Linked DNA regions of Xenopus tropicalis. The protein of the gene in region 1 purifies or fractionates together with the protein of each later gene. This does not show direct contact. Links are inferred from orthologs where the notes say so. Each region holds a gene or a part of one and is shown on either strand. Other genes may lie near its edges.

Region 1 (4,356 bases):
CTTTATTAAAAACAATACATATAAATAAAAAAAAAAAATGTACACGATTTGGAAATAAACTAAACTTAAAAGACAGTATCTAAGGACATTCAATATCTGTAATGGTTAAAGGCAGTAAAGTGCAATGGCACTATACATGATAAAGTAGATATAGTATCATAATAATGGTCTAGAGAGTGGGTCTGTAGAATGCCTCCAACCTATTTTTCTGGTTCAAACTAGACCATAACACTAAATTTAAGAAGAGCTTTAAAATTGTACCCTAAAGCAGAGGGAAAAAAGCACTACTGTGCTATCAGCTGCCATTTTTGCCATGGAGGCATTCCATTAAACTGCAGTTGCTCTGTTTGTCTATTCACACCCTAATCCGCCTATGTATTCTACGGGTTTGTGTACATTATGTGATTTTATGACAACTGCAGCAAATATGGAGTTAATACAGAACCATCCTCATTGATTTCTATAGGGGTTATATCGGAAACCCCATAGCAAAGCACCACCCAAGACAGTACAATCTTGAGGTGTTTTTATTAGAGGCCCTTATAGGGGATCATGATATACACTTTTTGGCAGTAGGTGCCCATCCTTCAGAATCTACATAAGTATTATTTTACAAATCCTTGAGCTTTATTTTCAGTAGGGCCCTTTTAACCTCTTGTATCAGTTATCAGTTCTTTATTTTATGCAAGTCTGTGTGTTCACAGTATACACCCATTTATTGTATAACACTGTGGCATTTTTTGGTGCTGTATAAATACATGTTAACTTAAATAAAAGATGATGATAATAATCTATGCTATACATTATTACTTATTATAGAAACATTTAGGTATATAAGGTGGGGGAACCATAAGCAAAAGCTGCTTGGATGATACTACTGATAATGGCTTTAACTGTCATTAACATAGCATAAATTATAATTACTCTACTTCAAAAATTCTAAGTTTTAAGGGTTTCCATTAGTAATTAGAAAGATTCTGGTGGCTAATGGCTTTTCCTTCCTCCTAACCCGGTGCACAGAGTGAAAGGGGATTGGCACCCCTTCAAATTGGACTGCAAAATCAAGCAAAGCCAACACACAGATACAATTCAACCAGTGATTTATTGTGTCAAGCAGAATACATGTTTCAGGGCCTTGCCCCTTCATCGGCTTTACATCACAAATCCCTTTCATAGGAATATTGTTTCCTCTACTGGATGTGCATGCCCATAAAAGTCTGCACTCTGGCTAAAGGGAAGAATTTTCCTGATAGGTGCACTTTAAACAGCCACCTAAATAGTGAAATTAACCAATTAAAGTTATTATTAAATTAATTTTTGTTACAGATCAGCAACAACATTTATAATAATTATATTAAGTTTCCTCCTATGTGAAGAAAAGCACTAGTGGGGCAACAAAAAAATGCTTTTGATTTACACATCTTAAAAGGATAGCTACCTTTTTAAGCAGATCCCTGGCTTCTTGAGTGAGGTAGGGGGGCAGGTTTAATTTACATTTAAGAATTTTATCAATTGTTTTCTTTCTGTTTTCACCAGTAAATGGCGGCTAGAACACAAAACAAAACTGCATTACAGTTAGCAACAATACTTACGGTAAAGCATAGTAGTAAAGCAGAAACACTGAGCAAACAAACTAGAAATGTTACAGCTAATTTCCTGTTAAAGTATACACTTTATGGTGATTAGAAATAATTTAGCATAAAAACGTTGAAAAATAGGTCTTATTTATATGAAACAGAGAAGTGCTGTTCTGAATACTTTTAACTATAATAACACAAAAAATCCCTACTCTGTGCTCAGTGAAATTGTATTCTAGAAGTTTTAATGGGGTGGCACATCTTCAGGTTAACTCTCAGTATGTTATAGAATGGCCTATTTAGCAAATATTCAATTGGTCTTCATTTTGTATCTTTTATAGTTTTTTAATTATATGCTTCCCTCTGCAACTCTTTCAAACTTTAAAAAAGGGGCCACTGACCCTGGAAGCTACTAAGCTATTGTAGCTCTGAGAGGCTACAATTTTATTGTTATTGCTACTTTTTTTTTTGCTTATCTTTCTATGCAGGCCCTCCTCTATTCATATTCCATAAACTACTACTACTCTCTACATCATACTAAAAGATAATTTAAAGGTAAACCAACCCCTTTAATGTCTCCCTATAACACAAAAACAAAAAATGTTTACCCTTCTGTTTCCTTGTTAGGAATTTATAATAGTTAAATAGCTATAAAAGCTTAAAGACAGATAGCCTAAAAGACATTGGCAGGTTAGAGAAAGCTAAAACTGTTACCTGAAATCAGTAGCATTAACAGAGAAGCATCAATATACTCATAACAATTTAAAAAAGGAACTAAGTTAAAAAAGCAATATATTATCACCTCTTAATTAGCCAATAAAGGCAATAAATACCTTCAACACCAGTTTTGTGATGTTTCGTTTTAAAAGGGTTATCCCTGCAATTATTTCTATAAGACAACATCATAGGAAATGTAAAAAAGCGAGGCTTTTACAATTTCTATATTAAAGGAACAGTAACACCAAAAAACAAAAGTGCATCACTGTAATTAAAATGTAATGTACTGTTGGCCTGCACTGGTAAAAGGTGTGTTTTTGCTTCAGAAACACCACTATAGTTTATATCAGCACTGTCCAACTGACGGCCCAGAGGTTGAAACCTTGTGGCTCACAAAGCTTCAGGTAATAAAAGCAGTTTATTTAAAACATATCAGTCAGAACCAAACTTGAAGCATCTGATCCACATGGTAGCCTCTTTTCATGCAGCTGCTCCTCAGCCCACCCGAACAATGTTGCAAACTTTGATCTCCCTTCCCAGCTGTTACATACTGACTCTGCTCTCCTGCTTCTTACCTCAATTCATCACCCTGCTGCTGACTTCATGATGAGAAAACTTGATTCGATTCGTATAATCCACTTATTTAAAAGTTTTAAATCAAAAGTACGGTTAGATAGGACACAATTTGTTAAAAGTTGGTGGGCCCTTGATCTTTGGAGTGGATTGTACAACACAGCAAAACAGCCAGTAACCACAGCCTTATGGCAAATAAACTAGACAGTGCATGCCCTGTGTTTTTTCACTGTTTTGTCTTTATAGTTGTGCTATCTGCATTCAAGGCAAAAATACTTTTACACTAGTAAGCAGTGAGTTTATACTTTGAGGGAGAGGACTTAACAGAAAAGCATGCATTTTCAACTGTGATAACATGGGTGTGACTTAAAATGGGGTGCGGTCAAAGCTGGATACCATCACTGGCCCTCCACCACTTAGGCCAGAAAAATCTTACCAAAGAAGCTGGACAGCACTAGTTTATATAAACAAAGCTGCTGCATGGCCATGGGAGTAGCTATACATAGGGCTAAATGGCTACATAGCAGATAATAGATAAACTCTGCCAAACAACATTTTATACATCAAAGCTTATCTGCTATGTCACCTGTGTCTTTAATTTTTGCAACTTAAATGGCTGCTCCATGGCTGCATAGCAGCTTATTTATATGAGCTATAGTCTTTCTGACGCATACATACAATTTAGTGAAAGGCAGCAGTACATTATATTGCAATTTACATGATAATGTTTTAATGTAAACCCCTTCATTTTTTGTTGTTACTGTTCCTTTAATAGGCCTCTGTTCCAGGAAAAGCATTTTGGTCACTGGAGGCAAATCATGCATAAACAACAGTGCACCTACTGCTCCAGTCAGCATGTCATACATCAAGGCTCCCAAGCTCCACCAGTCTACAGCACGGTTATGACCGCTTCTCATTAAGATTTCAGGTGCCCTAGGAAAATTAAAGAATGTAGCACTTATTTTTGCAAAGTTTAGCCATAGCCATATTTATGTTTATAAAAAATATGCTTGATAAATTTCCTAAGGTAACAAAATGTGAAATGCAACATGTTATACAATAAATAATGGTGAATAAAATGTTTGACGTGCTGGTCCTTCTTCATGCATGTATATACTGTACATACACTATACATAACATTTTTACCAGGACATAAACACAGGTTATGGAATAAGAAATAGAAAGCAAATTGAAGTTAGTTAAAAGATGAAAAGTCAGAATACCATAAGTTTGTGAATACCCATTACGATTTCACCTGTATGGTGAAAGGGATACACACATTTAAGTCAGCCCTGTGAATTTGTCCTAAGGAAAAAAAAAAACTATTAAAAAACATGAAATCTTACATGTATTCTATTGTTCCACAGAAGGTGTGTGTGACAGTGCCATCATGAATAGATTCTTTACAAAGGCCAAAATCAGTAAGTTTCACATGCCCTATAAAATAATATAGAACTTGTTAATATTGTTTAGGATGTATATACATACA
Region 2 (4,977 bases), on another chromosome or scaffold:
AAACACCACTGCCATTACATAGTTACACAGGGTTCAAAAAAGACCAGATTAGAATTTATCAAGTTCAACCCTTCCAAGTAAACCCAGCACACACAACCTATACTAACCAATCTATACCAACACATACATAACTACATATACAAACATTAATACTAACTGTAGATAGTATCACAATAGCCTTGGATATTATGCTTGTTCAAATACTCATCCAGGCCCCTCTTAAAGGCATTTACAGAATCTGCCATTACAAGATCAGTAGGAAGGGCATTCCCCAACCTCACTGCCCTCACCGTGAAAAACCACCTACGCTGCTTCAAATGGAAGCTCCGTTCCTCTAACTTTAAGGGGTGGCCTCTGGTGCATTGATAGTTTTTATGGAAAAAATAACACCCCTTATCTGCCTATAATCCCCTCTAATGTACATATACAGAGTAATCATGTCCCCTCGCAAGCACCTATTTTCCAGAGAAAACAACCCCAACCTCTATAGTCTTAACCTCATATCTTAAACCTTCCATCCCCTTTACCAATTTAGTTGCACGTCTCTGCACTCTCTCCAGCTCATTAATATCCTTCTTAAGGACTGGAGCCCAAAACTGCACTGCATACTCAAGGTGAGGCCTTACCAGAGACCTATAAAGGGGCAAAATTATGTTTTCATCACTTGAGTCAATGCCATTTTTTATACAAGGCAGCACTTTATTTGCTTTAGTAGCCACAGAATGACACTGCCTGGCATTACACAACTTATTATCTATAAAAAAAACCCAGATCCTTCTCCATTAAGGATACCCCCAACAAACTACCATTTAGTAGATTGCTTGTGTTTATATTATTTTTACCAAAATGCATAACTTTGCACTTGCCCACATTGAACCTCATTTTCCAGTTAGCTATTTAGTTTTCCAGTTTTGTCAAATCGCTCTGCAAAGTGGCTGCATCCTACACGGAACTTATAGTTTTGCACAATTTAGCGTTCTAGGCCAATATTCCTCAATGTTATCATTAACCTTCTGTGAGGTACTGTATCATACGCTTTTTCAAAGTCCAAGTACATGACATCAAAAATACCAGCAGACAAAATATCCATCTCCAGGCACCGTTTGTAATGTTATTTTATTTAAAGAATCCTATAGTTGGTATACAAGGGCAGATTGTCTGCTGCTGTTTTCCACCACAAACCTTTACTAAAAAAATTAATTTACATTACAACCCATGCAGGTCTTTAACTGAAAAGATAATATAACTGCAAACCATCCTCTGTATATTTGTAAAGTATAAAACGCTGGCATATTACAGCAATTGTATGCCAAGTTAAACGTGAACAAATGCACTTGAATCAAATCCTAGTTACCGCCCAAAGTTAAAAAAAAAGTACTAAAGCTGTGCATTGATACAACTAGCTTGGCCCCTGCATTAGCATTCCGGAAGTTGTAGTTAGTCGTACCCAGCCAGTACTAGCCATTTAGCTACATTGAGCGCAGTCACTTCCTCCATGTTGGACTAAACCATTTGTAATTGAAAAAGGGGAGGCGCTCACTTTGGCTTAAATCATTTAAGCCTCATATTTCTTTTAACAGCAAGAACACAAAATACAGAGATAATTCCTTTGTGGTTAATATATCGCGCGTTGGGTTTGACATCACGCAAGTTGAATTGAGTGATCTCGCCACCCCTGTCTCCTGCCTTGGTTAGCTCCTTTTCCGCCGGTGCCCGGTACAGCGCACATGGCCTGTTAGTAGCGCCAAGCCTTGCGTTCTCTTTATTCTCGGGGAGAAACGAATTCCAACCACGGAGAGACGCAAGAATCCAACGTAGGTAGAACAGAGACAAACAGGAAAGTGCCGAGGAATGCTGGAGAGCGAACGACCCGAGAGAGACATGGAGGAGGAAGAGTCCACCGAGGAGGAGGAGGAAGAAGGGATGTCCTTTAGCGATCCGGAGGGATTCGAGGACGATATCAGTGAAGAGGGTGAGTGAGGGCTTTCTAGAATGTTGGCTCTGGACAATATTGGGTACTTAGGCCTGCATGTTGCGTTCTTTTTAGGGCAGTGCTTCTGCTTATGCAGTACCCATAAGGCCTGTGTGTGAAAAGATGGGGGCCCCTGGCAGTGCAGAAAGAATGTGGCCTCTTATCAGAGGGATGGAATTGGATTCATTATAGATGTTATTGTTGCTGTACTCCCAGCTGGTAATTTCCCTGCTTGGTGCTAAAAACCTTTCAGCCTTCAGTTACAGCTGGAAGCCTGCAGGTTGGGCGGACATCCCTGATGTGCATCCTGAGAACGGCTAACAGCTGCCGCATCGCACAATATGTCCTTTGTACCTGGGATTGGTGTGGGGAGTTGTAGTTTGATAGCAGCCAGCTATGCTGCACTGTCACACCCTTTCATGGTTATTTTTGTGCCCTAACACAACACCCCAGTTATCAAGCAATTTTGAAATAAACAAAGCTTGAGCAGATGGGGCCCCACTGGCTGCCGAGCAGCATTTTTATTTTAACTCGTAGCAAAAACAAGCCCTCTGTTTTTTTCAGGCTTGGTATTTAGATTTTTTTGTTGTTGATATGAGGTATTTATCCTAAAGGTGCCCATACACGTTAAGATCCGCTCGCCAAGCAAGTGGATCTTCTCCCGATATCCCCCACCTATGGGTGGGGGATATCGGGAAAATGTAGGCTAATTTGATTGATTAAATTCTAACGGCAGCAATGGCACAGCCAGTTCGGGGATCGTCCCTGATCTGACTAAATCTTTTAACCTGCCCGATCGATATCTGGGCAATTTCAGGCCAGATATTGGTTGGGCAGGCCTGTCGTTTCTGCCCCTACACGGCCCGATAAGCTGCCGAATCAGTCCAAAGGACCGATATCTGCAGCTACAACCAGCCCGTGTATGGCCACCTTAACAAACAGTCAACAGTTAGGAAGTCTCAATGACCGTGAGGATATAGAAAATCAGGATCTTAAAATAAAGATAAGCAAACCAAGTTCTAACAGCCACCAAATGTAATCCTCAAAGTCAGTGTCTTTGGGTGAAGACGCACAGAGCTACGAGTAGCAGCTACATCAAAGCCAGTGATGGAGAAAACTGCTTTAATAGCAATTATGTACAATTTTAAAATGTAAATAAAATATTTAATTGAGCATTCTTTAGAATTGCCTTCATAATGCACAAAAGCCTATTTTGGAGGGGATGACAAACGCTGCTTTTAATAGCAGTAATATCTATAAACAACTTTAAAACAATTACACATTTGTAATTAATGTAAATTGCAAAGTTTGCTTAGAATTGTTTTCTTTTATTAGGCAAAACGTTTTTTGGGGTTGACATGTCAAAAAACGTGCTCAGGTCATATTGGCATCACTTTTTCTCTTTTCTGTACAGCATTGCAGCATACACTGGTGCATTATAACTAAAGTTGGTACTAGATACCCCTCTTAATTAAAGGAACAGTAACACCAAAAAATTAAAGTGTATAAAAGTAACTAAAATATAATGTGCTGCTGCCCTGCACTGGTAAAAGTTGTGTGTTTACTTCAGAAAGTCTACTATAATTTATATAAATAAGCTGCTATGTAGCCATGGAGGCAGCCATTCAAAGGAGAAAAGGCACAGGCACTTAGCAGATAACAGATAAAACACCATTGTATTCTACAGAACTTATTTGTTATCTGCTATGTAACCTGTGCCTTTTCTCCTTTTTTCCAGCTTGAATGGCTGCCCCCCTGGCTACACAGCAGCTTATTAAATCAATTATAGTAGTGTTACTGTAACAAACACACCAGTTTTACTATTGCAGGGCAACAGTGCATTATATTTTATTACTTTAAAGCTCTTTCATTTTTTGGTGTTACTGTTCCTTTAAGAAGGGAGGAAGAAAGTGAACAGTAGTTCTTATCTTTCTGTAACAGCATGTATGTCAATGTTGTCAGTTAGGCAAGTTTATCTCCTTGTTGTACAATGTCCCAATGCTTTTCTGCTTCATGAATGAAGAGCAATAATAATGTATGTTAGTCCAATATGTAATTTTGTAAGGGTGTGTCGTCTGTTTCTGAGCAGTGTATCACTTGATTTATAGCTGGGAGTTACCTGGTTGCTAGAGTAGGTGTGCTTAGTTACCTCTTATGGACAAAGACTGCATGCTGTAATTAGGTGCCCAAACCTTAGGCTAATGTCAGACCAGGTATGGCGTATATATTTTCGGCAAGTTGAAAAACGCTTGCCAAAAATATATACGCCATACGCCTGGTTTGACAATGGCCTTACACTCAGGGCATTCCACAACTTCGCTGCCCTTACCATGAAGAACCACCTACCCGGTATTGAACGTTTTTATGGGAAAGAATGCCATAATGCCTTCTAATATACTTATAAAGAGTAATCCAATCCCAGCCTTGATAGTCTGCTCTAATAATTATATAATGTGTCAGTATGACTTGCTTTATCAAGTTTAAAAAGGTTACTTTATGTCTGAAAAATGCTCAGAAAAGCCAAATTAACTTTTTAAATTGTTTAATCGGGCACTGTATAAGATTTGTTCATTCCTTTTGAAGCAACTAGTTTAGCAGCTCCTGTCCTTTTTCATATCCTGTGAAATTAAGTTAATGCATTGGGCTTACAGAGTGTCTAGGAGAGCAAGTAGGCATTCCCTGGGTCTCACTGTAACTGGCTTTTCGGCTGCCCCAACCCCGTGGTGTTGCCCCCACAGTTAAGGAACATCTGGTACAAAGTGTCCCATTTTAATGCATGTGAGAACATTCAACAATGTATTAAATTAAGATTAGGATACATTGTCCAGTATCCAACAAAATTGACTTGTGGGCACAAAATAGATATCTGATAAATGGCTATCCCCTTGCATGGCCACCCTCTGTTCCATTTTTTTGGACCAATGACCTAGGTGATTGGAACTGTATAAGTAAAGGGGAATTGCATATTCTCTTTAATTCCATACCAACTGATGCATTATGTATTT

What was found.
Region 2: the proteins of rps6kb1 (region 1) and eif3b purify together in Homo sapiens (affinity purification with western blotting; 3 studies listed by BioGRID and IntAct, with this or other methods). This does not show direct contact. The link is inferred for Xenopus tropicalis from reciprocal best matches to the Homo sapiens genes RPS6KB1 and EIF3B.

The regions. Positions count from the first base shown.
Region 1 is NC_030678.2:91,532,153-91,536,508, reverse strand, and holds part of rps6kb1 (ribosomal protein S6 kinase beta-1), read right to left. Parts: intron 4,305-4,356; coding exon 4,214-4,304; intron 3,801-4,213; coding exon 3,710-3,800; intron 1,547-3,709; coding exon 1,439-1,546; intron 1-1,438. UniProt on the Homo sapiens protein: Serine/threonine-protein kinase that acts downstream of mTOR signaling in response to growth factors and nutrients to promote cell proliferation, cell growth and cell cycle progression.
Region 2 is NC_030685.2:31,105,780-31,110,756, forward strand, and holds the start of eif3b (eukaryotic translation initiation factor 3 subunit B), read left to right. Parts: upstream 1-1,757; 5' UTR 1,758-1,881; coding exon 1,882-1,972; intron 1,973-4,977.